Mus musculus: one gene and its partners. The protein of the gene in region 3 purifies or fractionates together with the protein of the main gene of each other region. This does not show direct contact. Links are inferred from orthologs where the notes say so. Each region holds a gene or a part of one and is shown on either strand. Other genes may lie near its edges. The genes, in order: Skp2, Sirt1, E2f1 and Rbl2.

Region 1 (5,286 bases), on a different chromosome or scaffold from region 3:
TTTCTAGAAATCCCCATCTTCTGACTACAGCCTCTTAAACTGGGACCAGAGAGACGTGCCACCATACCTGGCATTAATGTGGACTCACATGCTATAACCTGAAGATGACTCCCTTTCCAAAAAAGTATTGAGAAGCCCAAACAGAATTTTTTTTTTTTGAGACAAGAGTCTCATTGCGTAGCCCTGGTTGTCCTGGAAGTCACTGTATAGGCCAAAGAGCTTCCAATTCACAGAGATCTGCCAGCTTTGGCCACTGGTGTACTGGGTTCAAAGGCATGAGACACCACAGGGGACTACAAAACAGGGATTTTCAAGCAAGCCACGGATCTGCTCACCACCCTGTCTGCAGACAGCGCCCGAAGGAAGGACGGAAGAATCCATTTCTTTACGCTGGCTTTGCAAGGCTTCACTCTGATGCTTTCTTCAACGTCTTTTTCCATTCCTCACCCAATTTTAGTTTAGACTTTGGTCACCTCTTCCACTGCTTTCATCCTGACCACGGCTTATCATTCTCTCACTGCTCTACATAAATCTCTAGGGGTCTGCTGCCTATCCTCTACCCGATACAGTTCAGCCTCAGCTAACCAATGTGTCCCTTTGGAGGGGTCACCGAGCCGGGGCGCCAATGGTCCACTCTTTTAATCCCAGCACTTGAGGCAGGCAGATCTCTGAGCTGGAGGCCAGCCTGTCTGAGTTGGAGGCCAGTGAGTTACACTACAAACAAAGAAACCCTGTCTCAATGGACGACACTGAACGAGGGGAGAGGAGTGAGTGTTCCAATGAGGAAAGATCAGCCCCACCTGAGGCCGCACCTCTCCCTACTCTGTCCACTCTCACTCTGCTTTCCTGTTCTCCAGCATCTTATGTGGCTTCCCTTTACTTTAGGTTCCCTATGCCAAGGGACATTTTCACGCGTATTCCTGCATTCTCCCCTTGTCTTTGCTTAAAGGTCACAGCCCAAATAAGGATGTCAGCCAATAACCAGTTTGCAATCTATCTTCAGATTCCAAGACTTCCTCCATTCTGCCTCAGTTTGACCCCCTCTTTGTTTTTAGCCACGTTGGCCTAACATGTTACAGAAAGTACCATATCCATTGGACTTCCAGCATTTCCTCACTAGAATGGAAGTTCTAGGATTTGTCTGTTTTGTTCACTGCTATTATCTGGAGCCACTATACTGTGGAGGACAGTGTGCTCTCAAAAACACTTCCTGAATCACTCTTTTGAGACAGGGTTTCTCTGTGTAGCCCTGGCTGTCCTGGAACTCACTCTGTAGACCAGGCTGGCCTCAGAAATCCGCCTGCCTCTGCCTCCTAAATCCTGGGATTAAAGGCGTGTGCTACCACTGCCCGACCCTGAATCACTTTTTTAAATGACTAGGGGGTGGGGGTGGGGAAACCTTGACAAGCCTCAGGTCAACACACTATATTTACTCTAAGGCTGCCAGTCCTTGAGTCTGGATCTGCCCTGGAGGCGCTTTATTTAAAAATGTTTGGGGAATCAAGGAGTGGGAGTCACTAGTGAGAGAAGAATTTCAGGTAAATTCTGATCTCATCAATCCACCCTGCCTCCTGGAGACAGAGCTGAGAAGAAAGCTGACAATATAAATCTATTACAATAATCCAGGAAGAGATGATGAAAGCTTGAAACAGCTGCCACACAAGAGTGAAAGACACAGTGACTAGCTGGGTAGTGGGGGCAGTGGGGATGAGACCACATTTCAGGGTTCTATGACTGTAGATGCAATGTCACAGTAAGGGAAACACCACACCCCCAAGGGCCTGCTTGCAAGCGGAGCAATCTAAGTCTCTTCTACTTAGTAACATTTACCTTCCTAATGTGCCTACCAATAATCTAAGTCATTACCATACAAAGCTTGCTCAGATACAAAGAAGTATATAGAGACAAAAGGGGACCCTCTAAGATCCCTGCTTCTGTTCCCATATGTCAGTGTACTGAGCTGGACTTTGAGCAGGAAGATTCCTTTCTAAGGAAAAGGGCAGGAAAAAAGCTTCAAGTCAATTGTTGACCACAAGATAAAGACCAACCAAGATTCCTGAAGACTTAATGACTGGAATCCATTTCACTGCCACACTTCCAAACTAGGCAATTTTAGGCACCAAAACTAGGCAATTTTAGGCACCGATCCAAAAAGATTCCCCAAGGAAATAATTCAATCGAATTTAGTTAAAACAAAATAGTTCAACCCATTACAATACAGTTTGGATCTTAGTGTTGTGCATTACCTGGAAAGTTCTCCCGACTAAGCTTCGGCCGACGGATGATCACAAAGTCTTTGTCACTCCCTTTGCCCTTGACTCGTTTCCTTGGAGGGCTCTGGGGGTGGCCGAGGTTTGAGAGCAGTCCATGTGGGATGTTCTCACTGTCCACCTCCTCCTTCTCCAAGGCCGAGACACCCATGCCTGATAGCAGTTCAGAAGTCTTGCTGGAATCCCATCCCCACGTGAAGCTGGTGGTGACGTTGCCACTCTGGTCCGGAATCTCCTGAAGGTGCTTCCTGCAGAAGGGCAGACATTCTCTATTCCTTTTGAAAATACACCCCTAAATAATTCCAAGGTAGGCATGAAAGAAGAGTAAAGAATGGAGTGGAGAAAAGTCCCAGCAAGTGACAGTACTGCATTTTTTAAACGTGCCTACAAGCGAGAGAAATACAAGAATGAAAGAGAAAAATCGGGAACATATATACTTTGAAAGGCTTTGGGATTTATGGTCACGCAGAAGGCCTCAATAATTTCTTCCCGTGGAGGGAAAAAGAGGGACGGCACTGATACCATGACTCAAAGTAGAGGAAGGAAAACTTAATTAGGAAGCCAAATTAAACTCCACATTGATATTCGCACTAAAGCATTCATCCATCCTTTTTCTCTAAGCAAACATTCACATAACCAGATTATTTGAACAAGAAGCAACATTCGCGGCCTAAAAGAATTCAAACGGTTCATTCATGTTTTGTCCGGTTTTTTTGCAATCGGTTTACCTATGCATGGTGTCCACTGATTCAGGAGTTTTGAATGCTTGAATTAATTGAAGCGCTGCCTGCCTTCCAGACTCCTGTTTTAGCGCTCGGCTTAGAGTGATCCCCGGGGCCCCAGCAGTTGGACCCGCGAACTAGCAACGTTCCATCACCACCGCGCGCGCGGAGTTCTGCATCCCGCTCTCCAGCAGCCGCCTTCTGACGCCCCGTTGCCTGCTGGGAATTGTAGTTCCGAGCCTAGCTCGTAGTCCTGCCTGGGTTCTTCCACTCTGATTTCGGACCAACCCTCCAGATACCCACAACTCCCTGCGGCGCCGGGCGGGATTGAAGGAGGAGGAGGAGGAGGAGGAGGACAGGCAGGCGGAAGTGGGTGGAGCTCCGGCTGGCTGGGAAATGTCAGCCGATTGACTGGGAGCAGGTTTTCCTTTTCCCGGAGCTCACGGGCCTTCGGGTGATCACCGCCACGGTCGCCCGGGACTGAAGGATCCGTGACCCCGGCAGGCTGCGGCGGACGCGAAGCTTCTGAGTCCCTTCCAGACGCTGTCTGGCGAGGTCCGACGGTGAGCGTGAGGGGGGCGGGGACGCGTGAGGTGCGTCAGGGTCTGGGGTCCCGGCCCAGTCCCTGGCGGACATAGACTTGGGGGGAGTTCCAGATGGTGAGTGGCCGCCGCCGCCAGGCCCATCTCCGGGGTCTCGATGGCCCGCCAGGTGAGAGGCTGCGGGTGGCACTCCTGCCATTCGCCTTCCTCCACCTGGCAGTGGGCGGCCCTTAGGACTGGGTCTGTGGACGCGATCCTTTCCTCACTTGTAAACTAGGCTCGAGGACGCGGCACACCTCATGGGCTGGCACTGAAGATCAAATCAGCGTGCGAGGGGAAGCCTTTTTCGAGCTAAAGCGCAGCTCCAAGAGGAGCGATGGTTTATTTTTAAGGCGGCAGGAGCCAGCAGTGGTTCCCGCGTGCATCCTCTTGGATCCTTGATGAGTCTCCCAAATACCAAAGGGAAAAAGGGAGGCTCCGCTTGCAAGGAGAGACCACCCTGAAAGCTGTTTAGGTGCCTCTGACTCAATCCACAGCCTGTCCTAGAATCTCTCTGCCTAGAAACTATGCTAATTTAGCCTCTGAAGAGGTCGGGGGCGATTAGATTAGAATGACCATGCAAAATTCAGGTGTGCAAACTGTGCAACAGGGGAGAGGGTAGGGGGATGCATTTCTAGTCCAGTAAAAATGAAGATTTATAGAGTTGAGAAAAAAGCAGGCCACCTTCATCAAAAACATTAGAATATTGGTTTAGTATGTTAGATTGCATACACTTGTGTTTCTTTGTGGAGAGAGCAAGATTCGTTTTATAGTGGAATTAAATCCTTCATGCTCAGTTTTGTCTTTGTTTCTAGCATAATCTTTGCATCAGTTACTTCTTGAGAGGAAGAGATTCATGAACTTTTAGTTCCTGTGAGTGAGATTGGTGTAAAAAAAAAAGACCTTTTTGCAAATTGGTTTTACTTGAAAAGAAAGACTAGGAGAATAAGTATGTAGTCACAGTTTTGTTATGGAAAGTATCTAAAGTGAGACCTTCTGAAATAGTGTATAAAGTTATCTTTTGTTACTTTGAAAAACTCATTTGCCTTCTCTTGAACTTTGTCCTTTCTGTTAGGATGTAACTCGTTCAAGAGTAAATTCTAGTAAATATAAAACAGCCCTGAATTCAGCTAAGAGTTAGCAGAGACCTTAGGATATTTAAATTAGTGGGCACAAGGTTCTCTCTAGGAAAGGAAAGCCTATCAACTTTGAAATTAGGAGCCTCCTGATTTGCCTTGATAATGAAACCGGTGTTCTTTTGCATTTCTTTAATCACAGCTATTTCCATAATATACTGAAAAGGTTTGTATTGATACACACACGATTCTTTTTATTTTTTTTTTCCTTTGGTTTTTCGAGACAGGGTTTCTCTGTGTAGCCCTGGCTGACCTGGAACTCACTCTGTAGACCAAGCTGGCCTCGAACTCAGAAATCCACCTGCCTCTGCCTCCCAAGTGCTGGGATTAAAGGTGTGTGCCACCACTGCCCGTTACGATTCTTTTTGATAGAGGAATTGTGTCCATTGAAGATGTGAGGTTATTAGCTACATAGAAACTCACCATAGAGACTTTAAGAGACTGATCTCTTAAACACTACATTGTGATTGCTGCTAATGTAAAATATTTTATTTCCTGATTAATCTTATTTAATCTTACTTAACACATTGTATTTTATTTTAATAAGTCTTTTAAAACATAGTTTTAGCATTAGAAT
Region 2 (4,556 bases), on a different chromosome or scaffold from region 3:
ACATTCAGATACCAGTAGTTTCTATGGTTGTAATTGAACAGAGTTTTAAGGGTTAAAATTTATGATTCAGTCTCACTTGCAGATTCTATCTGTAAAAATCATGGTGGAAATGATCTCTAGACAGGGTTTCTCTGTATAGCCCTGGATGTCCTGGAGCTCACTTTGTAGACCAGGCTGGCCTCGAACTCAGAAATCCGCCTGCCTCTGCCTCCAGAGTGCTGGGATTAAAGGCATGGGCCACCACGCCCGGCGGAAATGATCTTTTTGCTACAATATGCAGACCTAAATTAAGTGTTACTTAACTTTAAGCTTTCTGAGTCCTGAGATAGATATAAGCCACTGTGAGAAACAATCACGAGTTACAGCTTTAAAACTACTGATGCTGCAGTATTCAATTTTTAGTGCTTAGAAAATCTGAGATTTTAAATGGTGCTGTTGCTTATTTTCAGTTTATTAATGTGGGATAACTGAATATGAATTGATGTGGTACATCTAACAGAAATGCCATAAAAAGCTTAAAATACTTAATATCTTTGATTTAACTTAGGTGGTTTGTGTTATGTGTAGGCCAGGCATCCCAGTCACAAGCTGAGAACCACACAAAAGCAGTAAGCACTCAACTGCTGAACTCTTGCAGCCAACACTATTTTGAATTGTTTTGGTGAGGCTATTTGGGCTATTCACTAAAACGGACTCCTGTCTAAAAATGCTTAGTTGGGACACACACCTTTTTCCTTCAAAGCGCACTCCTCCCTACAAAAAATGAGATCTTAAGTTAGTAAGTTAGTCCCTGTGTATGTACAAGAGTCACCTACTGTGGGCATGCCCACCACACCCAGCAGTGTTCTGGGTGAGGCTCTGGCTATTTGTACTGTCATCTCATTTGGCATTCTTTCCAAATTGGAGGAGGAGGGGGAACCACAGACCACATTAAACCATTTCTCCACTTGGTGTATTTAGCTTTCTTTGCCAGGTGTCTTTTACATGGCCAGCTTTGGATTCACTCTGGTCTGACACTAGAAAACCAACACCCTCAGTCTTACTAAACACAGGTAACAAATGTGTTAAGATAGACTTTCTTGAGGCATTTAGTGATAGCAACCCTTACTGGGCTAGTATGCTATGAACAATGGAAGTTAACGGGAAAAAAGTCAAATGACAATTTTAATATAAGACTTTAAAACAAGATACAAGTATAAAACACTGTTTTTGTATTTCAAAAGTTGGAGGAAGATAATCCAGTCATTAAACGGTCTACAAAACATATGCCAGATTACATAAAAGTCTATGTACAATATAAAAAGAGCTGAAAACAGTCTTCACTGTAAAAATAATTTAAAACAAATTTTTCAATTTAAAATATTGTCTATAGCACAAACACATCATGCAAATGGAAAACTAAATATACTGCATTCTTTAGTGTAGCCAAATAAATTCAGTTATCTTTTAGGTAGGGAAATGAGCTACTTAATACTTTTCTCCTCTGGCAGTAATGGTCCTAACTGGGTATTTTATGCATAAAGAACAGCTATATTTCAAATCATTTTTTTGTAATAAATACTAAACCCACATGAATATTTAAATTTGGGGGCAATGTTCCAAAGAAGTCTGTAAAATAAATACTGACTTTCTGAGGTGTGAACTGTTTGAAAGGCTAAAAGTTTCTGCAGTTGAGAAAATTGATCCCTAGTTTTAAGGCAAGCTAAGCTTTTAAATAACTAAGAACTAGTTTCATTTGACTATTGGATCTGTATTCATCTCCATAATACAAGGCTAACACCTTGGGATACATTACACCAAATCCTCAACAGGCAACAGTGTACTTTCTGGTTGAGCTACAATTTATCTTATGACTTTGGGACTTTAATTAAGAGGCCTATTGCTTTCCTCATTAATGGAAAAACAGCAGTCCAAAATATTACACTCTCCCCAGTAGAAGTACCATTATTAGATTCAGAAAGGCTTTGCATATTCACATCTTGGCAGTATTTGTGGTGAAGATCTATGCAGGCTCTACCACAGTGATAGGTATTTAATTAAACAATGGCAAATATTCAAACTAAGGGGACCTATATAGACAGGCACTATTGTTTCTAGAACAACTGAAACACATTTCCAAATCATTTATCAGATTAGTCTCAGGGGCCTGTTTGGACATTACCACGTCTGCAGCAAGTACAAAAACGATGCAGTAAGTACGCTTCACACACTGAGCACCAAGTTTTGAGTGCTCCAGACACGGTGCTGACTCCTCACATTACAAGTCATCTGTGATTTTAAAAAGTTAGCTGCCACAAGTTTTGGAAAATGCCAGTGTTTAAAAAGTTAACTGTCCTAAAAATAAAAGTTCAGCAGAACAGAAATTGAGGGCTTTAAACTATTCAATGTTACAAACAAAAAAGTGTGAAATACCATTCTTTGGTCTAGATAAGCTGTTCCCTTTACATTAACATTCCAATGGCTTTTGAAAACTTTAAAAGGTTGAAACTCATTAGGCAAAAAACAAAATTATACATACATACGAATGTATCATACAAATGAACCTTGAAAGGAAGATGAAGTCAACCAACAGTGTTGAATGTACAAGTACAAACAGAAATGATGGAACTTTAGAAATTATCCAAGAAGACAATCTATTTTCCAGTCTATAAATAATACATCTTTCAGATTTCCTTGTTCAAGTTCACAAGTAAACATTCATTTTTTGACATGCTAAAGTTCCCAATGCTGGTGGAGCAATTCCTGAATCCGGACAGCTTCAATAGTGTTATGATTTGTCTGATGGATAGTTTACATCTGTCAATTCCTGTCTTGTAGCTATAGCTTCATTAACAACCTCTTGATCCCCTCCATCAGCTCCAAATCCAGATCCTCCAGCACATTCGGGCCTCTCCGTATCATCTTCCAAGCCATTGTAGAATTCTTCAATTTCACTTTCATCTTCCAAGGGTTCTTCTAAACTTGGACTCTGGCATGTGCCACTGTCACTGTTACTGCCACAGGAACTAGAGGACAAGACGTCATCTTCAGAGTCTGAGTATACCTCAGCACCGTGGAATATGTAACGATTTGGTGGTACAAACAGGTATTGATTACCTGAAATACAGAAGAAAATAGCACTTAGAATTTTATGTGTCCCTTAGTACCTAACTTGTTGGCTTACTCTTGAACTCAACTCTTACTTCTGCCTCCTGAAGGCTGGGATTACATCTTTTCAAGTCTAACAGCTCCCTTGTTTGCACCAATGACCAGAAACATACTTCCAAAGCTTGTTCCAGGGGCAAATATGATACAGGCCAAGTGCAATTCCCAGAGCACAAGCCTCCCATTGTGTATGAACAGATTGTGCCTGTGTTAGAGGGGAGGGAGCAGTGTTTGCACCACCCTAACAGTTGACAGGACAAAATAGGTGTCCAGTAGATAGGAACCCTGTTTTCGAGATCTTAAACAAGGCAGCCTTGTTTGAGCAAGAAGGTAGAAGAGGGTACAGCCTTAAGGCAGACCTAGGCCTAATTACCTTCTGGGGTACATCTTCAACCCTGAGTTTTCCCACCCAGAACATGGTTCCCACCCTATAAGATCATAAACTGACCCAAGTCTTAATCATTTGCTGGGGAGGTGGGAGAACGGAGTAAAACCCACTTTTGGGATATAACTCAGCTGACAGATCTCGTTCCCTAGCTGCTTGAAGCCCCAGGTTTAATCATACACACTACTGCCAGCAAAGACAAACTCATCGCCCAAACTTACTTTAACTTAATACACACAAACACATAGCACTACCTTCATCAACTAATGTCAAAACAGTTATCTGACATTGGGAATCACCCTCCTCTGATCACAGTACTTTGAAAGTGATTCAACAAAACGCATTCCATACCCTCAAGCCGCTTACTAATCTGCTCCTTTGCAAGTCTATTAGGCCAGCATTTTCTCACTGTTTCTGCAACTGAAGTTCTTTCATTTTTGTCTGCAGTACTGGAACCAACAGCCTTAAAATCTGGATTTTCCACATTAATGTTCTCAACATTCCTACTAGTCTGTACTTCTTGTGGTTTTTCTTCCACACAACTTGATTCAGATACTTCTAAATCATTAACATTGTTGTTTGTTGCTTGGTCTACAAGTGTAGCAATCACAGAAGAGTCTTGTGGTACAGTTCTTTCAGGTGAACTTGAGTCTTCCGAAATATGAAGAGGTGTTGGTGGCAACTCTGATAAATGAACCAATTCCTTTTGTGGGCGTGGAGGTTTTTCAGTAATTTCTGAAAGCTTTACAGGGTTACAACAAAGTTTGGCATATTCACCACCTAGCCTATGACACAACTCATTAATTATAACATCGCAGTCTCCAAGGAGCTCTACATCAAAATGTAGATGAGGCAAAGGTTCCCTATTTATTAATATTTGAGGCACTTCATGGGGTATAGAACCTAAAAATGGGGTGAAAAGGGGAGTTAGAAAAGAGAAGTTAATTTTAACAACTGTCAAGAGGTGGGCATGGTAGCACACCCCCGCTAATCCCAACAACAAAAAGAGGGGCAAGCAGAAATACAA
Region 3 (5,256 bases):
TGGGAGCTGCAACTTGCTTGTTTTATAACAGGATCTCATGTTATAGGATCTTGGCTGCCTATATAGCCAAGGATGACCGAGCACTCTCCTGTCTTCCTGTATCTACCTGCTGGGGTTACAGGTGTTACCCCATACCCAGCTGTAGCAATTGTAATATTTGGCTCTACTCCACATTTTTATTGAAAAGGTATACCAATTTGTTTTCAAAGATCAACACATTATCTGGGATGGGCATAAGTGTTCCTTGTGTTCCTTTGTTTAAATGTTTATTTATTTTTTTATTCTTGCTGTATTATACATAGTCCAGGCCATCCTGGGACTTAAGCTCTTCCAGTCTTGACAAAAAGATTCTAAACTGGAGGTCAAGTAGTGGCCCAAACATGTAACCCTAGCACTCAGGAGGCGGATGCAGGAAGGTAACATTGATTCAGTTTGAGCTACTACATAGCAAGATACTATCGCTTTAAAGAAAAAGGGGGGGGGGCGGAGCAAACCAGACATTGTGGCCCCACCCATTCAACTCCAGCACTGGAGGCTGGAGCAGGCAGATTTAATGATGTTCCAGGGCAACCAGAGCCAGATGAGACCCTGTCTCTAAACACAAACTAAAAACCCACCCCTCCCAATCAAAACAAACCAAAAAAAAAACAAGAAGGGGAGAGGGCGGCCTGGCTGGGGATTGATTCTAAATTGGCCAAACCGGGGTGGTTCAAAGTTAACCCGTGCCTTGGTGTTTCTGGGCCCTGGAACATCACAGCCCCCTTATTGCGTCCTTGCTCACCTCTGCCCTCAGCCTCCAATTCTCTCATACCCAGAAAGGGCCTGAGAAGCAGCCCCTGCTAAGCCAGCTCAGAGTAATGTGGTCAGAGTTGGGGCCAAGATTAAGTAGCATGAAGCATGGAGAAAGTAACCCGGCTTGAGAGCTCCCTGTAGCTTACACTGGACCTGGGGACTTGAATATTGTCAGCTACTTACTCTCTTCTTGTGGTCATCTCCCCCACCCCCAAGGACAGGAAGTTTGTGGGTCTTGTTAAACCTTTCATGTTTCTATTCCCAGTATTGGCAAGATGCCTAGTAGAGAGGACCACAATGCTGATCAGACGGGCTGACCCCAGCAATCAGAAATGCTGATGGAGGACCTCTGGATTAAAGGCACCACCATACGCACCCTCCTCGCCCCTGCACCTCCCTATGAGAGGAGATACTTTAATGGACCAATCTCTTCACATTGCAAACATCTGCTGCTTCTGTGTTTCCTTTTTTTCCTTTTCACTAAGTCATGAGTCAAGGTCTGGACTGAGGATGGGACAGTGAACGCTCTCAGGCGTTTTTTTTTTTTTGAGATCAGGGTCTCACTGTGTAGTTCTGGATGACCTGAACTGGGAAGATCCGCCTGCCTCTGCCTCCCAAGTGCTGGGATTAAAGGCAGGCGCCATTGTGGAGTGACCAAATGAATGAACGCTAACTGGGCTCTGGCTACGAAAGAAATTTCAGTAAAAAGACACTGAGATCAAAGCCACACATCCCTTACTCATTTCCTGGCTCCCCTCTTGGGCTTGGCTTCTGGGTGACAGGATAGGGAAGAAAGCATGATGTGAACTAATGGAATAAATGGATCTTAAGACCGGAGATGTGGCTGAAGCGAGCTTTGGAGGTGAGCCTGAAGAGGCAGTCTCTGGGCTGTAAACTGAGGGGGTGGAGACCACAGGTTGAGAGTTTAGGGGGTCATGTGGAGACTGCGGGACGTGCAGAACCGAGTACGAAGTTTGTTCGCTTCGCCAGACCCGCCACCCATCGAGTGGGCGGTGAAGGGGCGGGGCCCATTGCCCACGCCTCCTGCAGGGCACGGCGAGAGGCAGAGGGGAGAAGGCGCCCGGCACCGCCCGGACAAAGCCTGCGCGCGCCCCGCCCCGGGATTGGCCACCCCGCCCCTGGTCCCACCCTCCGTCTCCTGCCCCGCACGCCGCAACCAATGCTCGCCATCGGAGCCTCCGTCGTCACAGCCGCCCCGGCCAATGGAGGAGGCGTTCGGCGGCGCGTGGCTCTTTCGCGGCAAAAAGGATTTGGCGCGTAAAAGTGGCCCGGACTTTGCAGGCAGCGGCGGCCGGGGCGGAGCGGGATCGAGCCCTCGCCGCGGCCTGCCAGTCATGGGCCCGCGCCGCCGCCGCCGCCTGCCTCCCGGGCCACGCGGGCCGTGAGCGCCATGGCCGTAGCCCCCGCGGGCGGCCAGCACGCGCCAGCGCTGGAGGCCCTGCTCGGGGCGGGCGCGTTGCGGCTGCTCGACTCCTCGCAGATCGTCATCATCTCCACCGCGCCCGATGTCGGCGCCCCGCAGCTCCCCGCCGCGCCGCCCACTGGCCCTCGCGATTCTGACGTGCTGCTCTTCGCCACGCCGCAGGCGCCCCGACCCGCGCCTAGTGCACCGCGCCCGGCTCTCGGCCGCCCGCCGGTACGGACCCTAGGCGCGGGCGGGGGAGGGGACGGGCTGCTGCGCTGGGCGGCGCGGAGCCTGGGCTGGGCCTCGGGGCTCCGCCCCGGGGCGCGCATTGACTGACTGCCTTGCCTGTCTGTTTGCTGAGCCTCGCTCCGGGCCTCGGCGTCTTCACCGGAGCGTCGGAACCATTAATGATTGTGTCTCACGTGTATCCAGCTGGTGCTTGCTTAGTGCACGCTCAGGCTTTGGCACCAAATTCCCAATTCTGGTGTGAGCTGGGTGTTGTCACGTGCCCATCTGCCAGAGGGAGGAACTGAGGCCCAGAGATGGGGAAGTGCTTCACGCAGCTGCAGATGGTGGGGCTGATATTTGAACTGATGTCTGCTGGCTTGCTGCAGAACCTATGGCTAGGGAGTGCGCACAGTTGCTTGTTGGAGGTGAGAGAGGGTGACTGTTAGAGACATCTTCGGGAGATCCTCCTTAGTAGCTCTGCCAGGTGCAGGCCTGGCCTTCCAGGCCTCTGGGGATAGGCCTCTTGATTGGGAGGCCTTCTCTGCAGGGGCGGGGTGCTGGGCCAGCTGCTGCAACCCTTCCTTTGCCTGTTCTTCCATCTGCCACCCTTCCAGCTCCTGGTTGCCATGGAACTTTATTAATCAGGCGGACAGACCTCTGAGCCTCTGGAAGACTGGGTGGGCTGGGCCCCTGAGAAGGGGCCTCCAGTTCCTGGAGAGAGAAGACGTGGGAGGGAGATCCCTGGATAAAAGTCTCTTCCTGATTCTAAGCAAGTAGCTCAAGACCACTTTAGGCAGGGGGCCTAGAAAAGGCAGCTGGGTACGAGGAGAGTGGAACTTGGATCTAAGCAGGGGCCAGCTCCGTGAGTGGGCCACTATCTTCATTGTAGGGGTGGAGTGGACAGGAGGGGCGAGGGCAAGGCCCAGTATCAGAGAAGAAGCTGTTCAACTCCTGATGGGGGTGTGGGTGGCAGCTGGTCCCTGAGGCATCTTAGAGTAGGCCCCTTACTCCCCTTGGCACAGCGCCCAGTGCTGCCTTCCTTCCGGAATCACCAAGATGCTAATAATAATAACAATAGCAACCACCATTGTTTTGAGGATGTTTTGTGTGCCAGGCTCTGTGCTAAGCACTTTACTCACTTAACCTTGTGGGCAGCCGTACACTTTGTCATCCTTTCATAGATGAGGCTGAGGCCCACAACTGATAGAACTTCTTAAGCATTCAGTGACTGAGCGGGATTTCCTGGCTGTTAAAGGCCTTTCCTCCCAGCGAGGACGGCCAGTATTTGGTGGGTCAGCCGGCTTGCCTTGCATTAACTCCAGGGGCCTGTACCTGTAGGGAGGAGCTTGGGCCCTGGGCAGGTATTCTACATGTAACCAAACATTCCATTCGCTCTAGTTGAGTTAGTGAGTCCCTTTGTGCCCTAGGTGCAGAGGTAGTTAGGGAACCCCTGCCCCCATAGTACTTAAGGACCAGCAAACATTTTCTGTGGGAGAGGTTGACACCATCCCGGAGCCAAAGGCCAGGAATGCAAATCTGGATTTTGGCCTCTACCAACTTTGCTCTGGAATTTTGGGGGGGCAGTCCTTGAAATAAGCTACAGGCTTGGCTTGCACCCAGTGAATACTTGCTGGGTCCTTCCTGTGCACCTCTGTACACCTCTTTGCAGTTCAGACATTCCTCCTTGACCTACCTCTCTACCTTGTCATGTATGTGTAGATCCTGGGGGGGGGGGGGGAGGGGAATAGCACAGACAGGAGAACTGACACAGGTTCAAGGCCAGCCAGGGCTACATAGTGAAACCTAACCTTAAAGTAAGTTGGGCTGGATAGATGGTTCAGCCATTGAAAGCAATTGCTTCTCTGTTATGACAACTTGAGTTTGGATCACAGCCCCAACACTGAGGTCACATGGCTAACTTCAGTCTCCAGGGATTTGATAGTCTTCTCCTGTCTTTGGGTACCCATGTTCACATACATTCATACAGACACAAATTTCATTTTAAAAAGAAAATAATTTTAAAAAGTAAACTAGTTAAAAATAAATTAAGCCGGGCGTGGTGGCACACGCCTTTAATCCCAGCACTTGGGAGGCAGAGGCAGATTTCTGAGTTCGAGACCAGCCTGGTCTACAAAGTGAGTTCCAGGACAGCCAGGGCTACAGAGAAACCCTGTCTTGAAAAACAAAACAAAACAAACAAACAAAAATAAATAAAATATCAACAGCCTATTTTGGTTAATTGACTTCTTGAGTTCAAAGCCAGCCCGAATTACAAAGACCCTCTTTCAAAACAGTAACAGCAAGAAACTGAGGTTCCCCATTATAGTTCTTGTTTACTGTAGAAAGTATGTGGTACCATACATTAAGTCTGTAAGAGCCAGGCTTAGAGTAGAAAGCCAGCTCTTCTGCAGGGCCCTTGTTTTAGGTGTGACACTGTTGTTTTATTACACGAATCCCTGGCTGGTCGCTGTGAGTGCTTAATGCTGTTGGGGATTGAACCCAGAATTGAATGCACGCTGAATAAGTGCCAGGCCCCAGTCTTGTTTTTAATAGTTCTAAAATTTGCTGTGAGCCATGTGTGGTGGCTCCTTTAAAAGCCCAGTACTTAAGTGAGGTCCAAGGATCAGGAGTTCAAACAGTACGTCATTCACATTGCCCAGAGGAGGTAACCGTCTGCGCTGGCTCCCCCACAGACGCGCTCCTGTTTCTGAAACACTCTTAGAAGCTAAACTGGAGAACAGCTCCTGAGATTTCTAGTCCAGGAAGGGACCATGTATGTGTTAGCCTGTCACAGTGGTTTCCTTGTGTGT
Region 4 (3,500 bases), on a different chromosome or scaffold from region 3:
TTATTTCATGGATTGTGATTTTTATGTTGTATCTGAGAAATCTGTCCACAGCACATGCTCATCAAGACTTCATTTTCTTCTGTAAGTTTTCAGTTGTTGGTTTTATATTTGTATCTGTGATTACTTGGCATTAAGTATTACATGTGACACAGGCATGCATATGATCTATGATTGTTACAGCACATAGATTGCCACTCAGTTTAGCGCCATCTGTTGGTGCTAACAGTTGGCTTGACAACTGCCACGGCACCTTTGAGAAAGACTCAGCTCACCCTGCACACACAGTATGCTTGCTTCGGTGTGTTGTACTGACCTCTGAATTTGCATTTGAGCTACACTACCTTAAGCCTAAGAACTCAGATGCTGTGAACCCCCAACTCTTTAAAAGTTGTATTATTGGGTTCCTTTGCCTGTTTATACACATTTTTTAATCATGGGACTACTTTTTACAATTAATTCTGCTGGGATTTTGTCTGGTCATGGTGTTTCTCCACAGCAATAGAACAGTGACTAAGACACCTACAATGTAAACATTGTAGATTCTCATTAATATAAAATGCTTTCATCTTCTCTGTGATCTCTTCTTTCACCCACAGAAATCTGATATTAAGCTTCCAAAACTTTAGAGGTTTGCAGAGAGCATTGATTGCCAGTATGGCCAGAAAAAAATTGCATTATTTGAATCCTTTAATTCACTACAAATGTGGGGATGTAATTCAGTGGACAAGCACCTGCTTTGCATGGATGAGACTGGTGCTCAGCACTGTACTAAGATGTGTGTGTAGTCCAGAATATGGTCTACCTTTGTATTAGTGTCCCACAGGCAGGTGGCGCTGTGGATTGTTGTCCCGTCTTTTATATCTTTATTCATTTTCTCTGCCCGTTCTATCAGTTATGTTGACTTCTCCACCATGAATGCATTTTCTCTCCTCACAGCTCACATCTCTCATAACTGAGCAGGGTCCATGCTCTGCTAATGCTTCACCACTGAGCTGTATTCCTCGCCCAGGAAGTGAATGTCTGGGTCTCCTTGCTCTGAAGTCTAGTTCTTGTGTTAGATAGCTACCGCGAGTCTCTTTGTACTTGGTGCTAGCATGGTGTTTTGAACACGTTCTTTACAACAGCCTTGTTGAGATAAAATTGGCATGCCACATAGCTCAGCATTTACAGTGTGACCCAGTGATAGCTGCTTGCTACAGTCAACCTTATTGCTCTCAAAGGAATCTTTCCCACCAGCGGAAATGCTTCCTTTTCTCCCAGGCAACCACTGATCTGTTTTCTGCCTCTATATATCTGCTCATTGCGTACATCTAACCTGCGTAGATCATGTTCAGTCTTCTATAACTAACCCCACTCACTGTTGTGTCTATAGGGGTTACCCACACAGAAGTATGTGCTAGCTAGTACTTCACTTTTTGGTCATATACATACTTATTTTATTCATCAACTACTAGGTATTTGGATTGCCATTTTGGAACTCACTCTGTAGATCAGGATGGCCTTAAACTCAAGAGATCTGCCTGCTTCTGCCCCACAAGTGCTGGGATTAAAGGTGTGTGCCTCCACCATCCAGCAGGATTGTCTCCTTTAAAGTGTATCTTCACATTTGAAGAAACTGCATACGTTTTTTACATCTAATACTAGATGATCTTAATGGGGTTGTTTGTAAAACCTACCAACAGATTGTCAGCAACTGATCCAAAAAGCAATTGCAGAGGGATGAGATTTCCTAAAATTGGGACAGTATTTCTTATAAAACTTGCAATTTTAACCAAATACATTCCAAAATGGATTGTGGTGGTAAGATGGTACAGGAATCAAAGAGGTAAGAGGGTTGGGGAGAGGGCTCAGTCAGCAGTGAGCAGCAATAAGCCAAATACAGTGGTAATAAGCCACCAGTACCATCAATGTCGGCACCACACTAAGTCCCAACCCTACCCCGTGTCACATGGTTCCCTAAGCACAACCCAGTCAAAAAGGGCACATGCTGCATTTGGCTTGTCACAGCGTCTTCTGTCCCCACTGAGCCTACGTTACTTCCAGTGAGACAGCCTTTTTCCCTCTTCTCTGATTCTTGGGCATACTTCCACATCTCAGGAACTATGTAACTCTTCACTATCAAGGCTCAAGTTTCCCTGCTCTGAAACAGGTGCTACCACATATGTCTAACTCTGAGCTCTCCGTGGAGAGAGAGAAAGTAACTGCTGCAGAAACAGAACTTGGTAACCAGTTTAAAGAGTCCAAAGTTTCACTGGGTGGTGGTGGCGCACACCTTTGATTCCAGCACTTGGGAGGCAGAGGCAGGTGGATTTCTGAGTTCAAGGCCAGCCTGGTCTACAGAGTGAGTTCCAGGACATCCAAAGCTATACACAGAAACCCTGTCTGGAAAACAAAACAAAACAAACAAACAAACAAACAAAACAAAACGGAAAAAAAAAAAGTCCAAAGTTTCTATTCTGAACAGAAGCAGAAAAATAAAATTTTACTAATGAAAGAAAACTCAGTTTTCAAAATGTACAGATTGGAAAGGAGGTAAGAAAAACATAGTTCCTCAACTTTATTTCCAACCCTGATGTCCTCAAAACCCATTGGATCCTGGGTTCTGCCCATTGTGACTTAAGCCTTCTGATGTCCGGCAGTTACAGTGCCCCAGGGAGTGCTTCGCTCACTAGAGCTAGTCCTAGCCTGCTAAGCAGTTAGAGTTGGTTAATGCCATTTATGTAGTCTTACCTTTGATGGGCTGTTGCTGAAGTAGTAAAAAATCTTCTCTCGAGGAGAAGGCATTGCTTCGTTGTTATGTGGGGAAATGTAGATAGGATGACTTTGAGATAACTGTACTCGGCGAGGGGAGCCTGTTCTTACAAATGGATAGGGAGAGAGGGGAGGAGTGTCCGTCTGTGGAAAACAAAACAAGGAATTCTGAGAATAAGCCGTCCTAGCCAGGTTGCATTAAAAGTCAACAGTTGAGTGGAAGGCTTTTGAAAGATGAACAGTGGTGGATCAGCAACAACCAAAGAAACTAGAGACTCACACCAACAGCTAACACATGCAGGTGTTTAGTTCAGCCCCCATGTGAAGCATTTTTATACATTATATCATTTGAGCCTCCCAGCAGTCAGACAACTACTGTCCTCATTTCATATATGAGGTGACTGACAACTGTACAGAGAGCTCAGTTGACTTGTGCCTTGATACTCGTGTTGGAGACTGTTTAAAGAATTACTTGTAAGCCTAGTTTATGATGGAAAACCTCAAGTGATTCCTCCCCCTCGTGAGAGGCTGAACTCAGTGACCCTGCCCTACTGACCTGCGCGTTTGCCTGCGAGTACTTCATGGCAAACGCTTGGATTTGCTTCCTATAGATGTTGTTGTAGAACTGAATGAGGTCTCCTCGTTCCTCCTCTTCAACGTCACTGCTGGCACCCGTGAGTCGAGTTGGTGTAGGAGGGGCACTGCTGGGCTGTGGAACTGGTAGGGTGCTGTTTGACCTCATCACTGGG

What was found.
Region 1: the proteins of E2f1 (region 3) and Skp2 purify together in Homo sapiens (affinity purification with western blotting; 6 studies listed by BioGRID). This does not show direct contact. The link is inferred for Mus musculus from reciprocal best matches to the Homo sapiens genes E2F1 and SKP2.
Region 2: the proteins of E2f1 (region 3) and Sirt1 purify together in Homo sapiens (affinity purification with western blotting; 3 studies listed by BioGRID and IntAct, with this or other methods). This does not show direct contact. The link is inferred for Mus musculus from reciprocal best matches to the Homo sapiens genes E2F1 and SIRT1.
Region 4: the proteins of E2f1 (region 3) and Rbl2 purify together in Homo sapiens (affinity purification with western blotting; 3 studies listed by BioGRID and IntAct, with this or other methods). This does not show direct contact. The link is inferred for Mus musculus from reciprocal best matches to the Homo sapiens genes E2F1 and RBL2.

Annotation. Positions count from the first base shown.
Region 1 is NC_000081.6:9,137,186-9,142,471, forward strand, and holds the start of Skp2 (S-phase kinase-associated protein 2), read right to left. Parts: upstream 3,270-5,286; 5' UTR 3,007-3,269; coding exon 2,999-3,006; intron 2,519-2,998; coding exon 2,247-2,518; intron 1-2,246. UniProt on the Homo sapiens protein: Substrate recognition component of a SCF (SKP1-CUL1-F-box protein) E3 ubiquitin-protein ligase complex which mediates the ubiquitination and subsequent proteasomal degradation of target proteins involved in cell cycle progression, signal transduction and transcription.
Region 2 is NC_000076.6:63,317,869-63,322,424, forward strand, and holds the end of Sirt1 (NAD-dependent protein deacetylase sirtuin-1), read right to left. Parts: intron 4,433-4,556; coding exon 3,881-4,432; intron 3,097-3,880; coding exon 2,768-3,096; 3' UTR 1,137-2,767; downstream 1-1,136. UniProt on the Homo sapiens protein: NAD-dependent protein deacetylase that links transcriptional regulation directly to intracellular energetics and participates in the coordination of several separated cellular functions such as cell cycle, response to DNA damage, metabolism, apoptosis and autophagy.
Region 3 is NC_000068.7:154,566,682-154,571,937, reverse strand, and holds the start of E2f1 (transcription factor E2F1), read left to right. Parts: upstream 1-2,045; 5' UTR 2,046-2,203; coding exon 2,204-2,449; intron 2,450-2,511; exon of another isoform or gene 2,512-2,760; coding exon of another isoform or gene 2,761-2,871; intron 2,872-5,256. UniProt on the Homo sapiens protein: Transcription activator that binds DNA cooperatively with DP proteins through the E2 recognition site, 5'-TTTC[CG]CGC-3' found in the promoter region of a number of genes whose products are involved in cell cycle regulation or in DNA replication.
Region 4 is NC_000074.6:91,115,057-91,118,556, reverse strand, and holds part of Rbl2 (retinoblastoma-like protein 2), read right to left. Parts: coding exon 3,308-3,500; intron 2,896-3,307; coding exon 2,731-2,895; intron 1-2,730. UniProt on the Homo sapiens protein: Key regulator of entry into cell division. Directly involved in heterochromatin formation by maintaining overall chromatin structure and, in particular, that of constitutive heterochromatin by stabilizing histone methylation.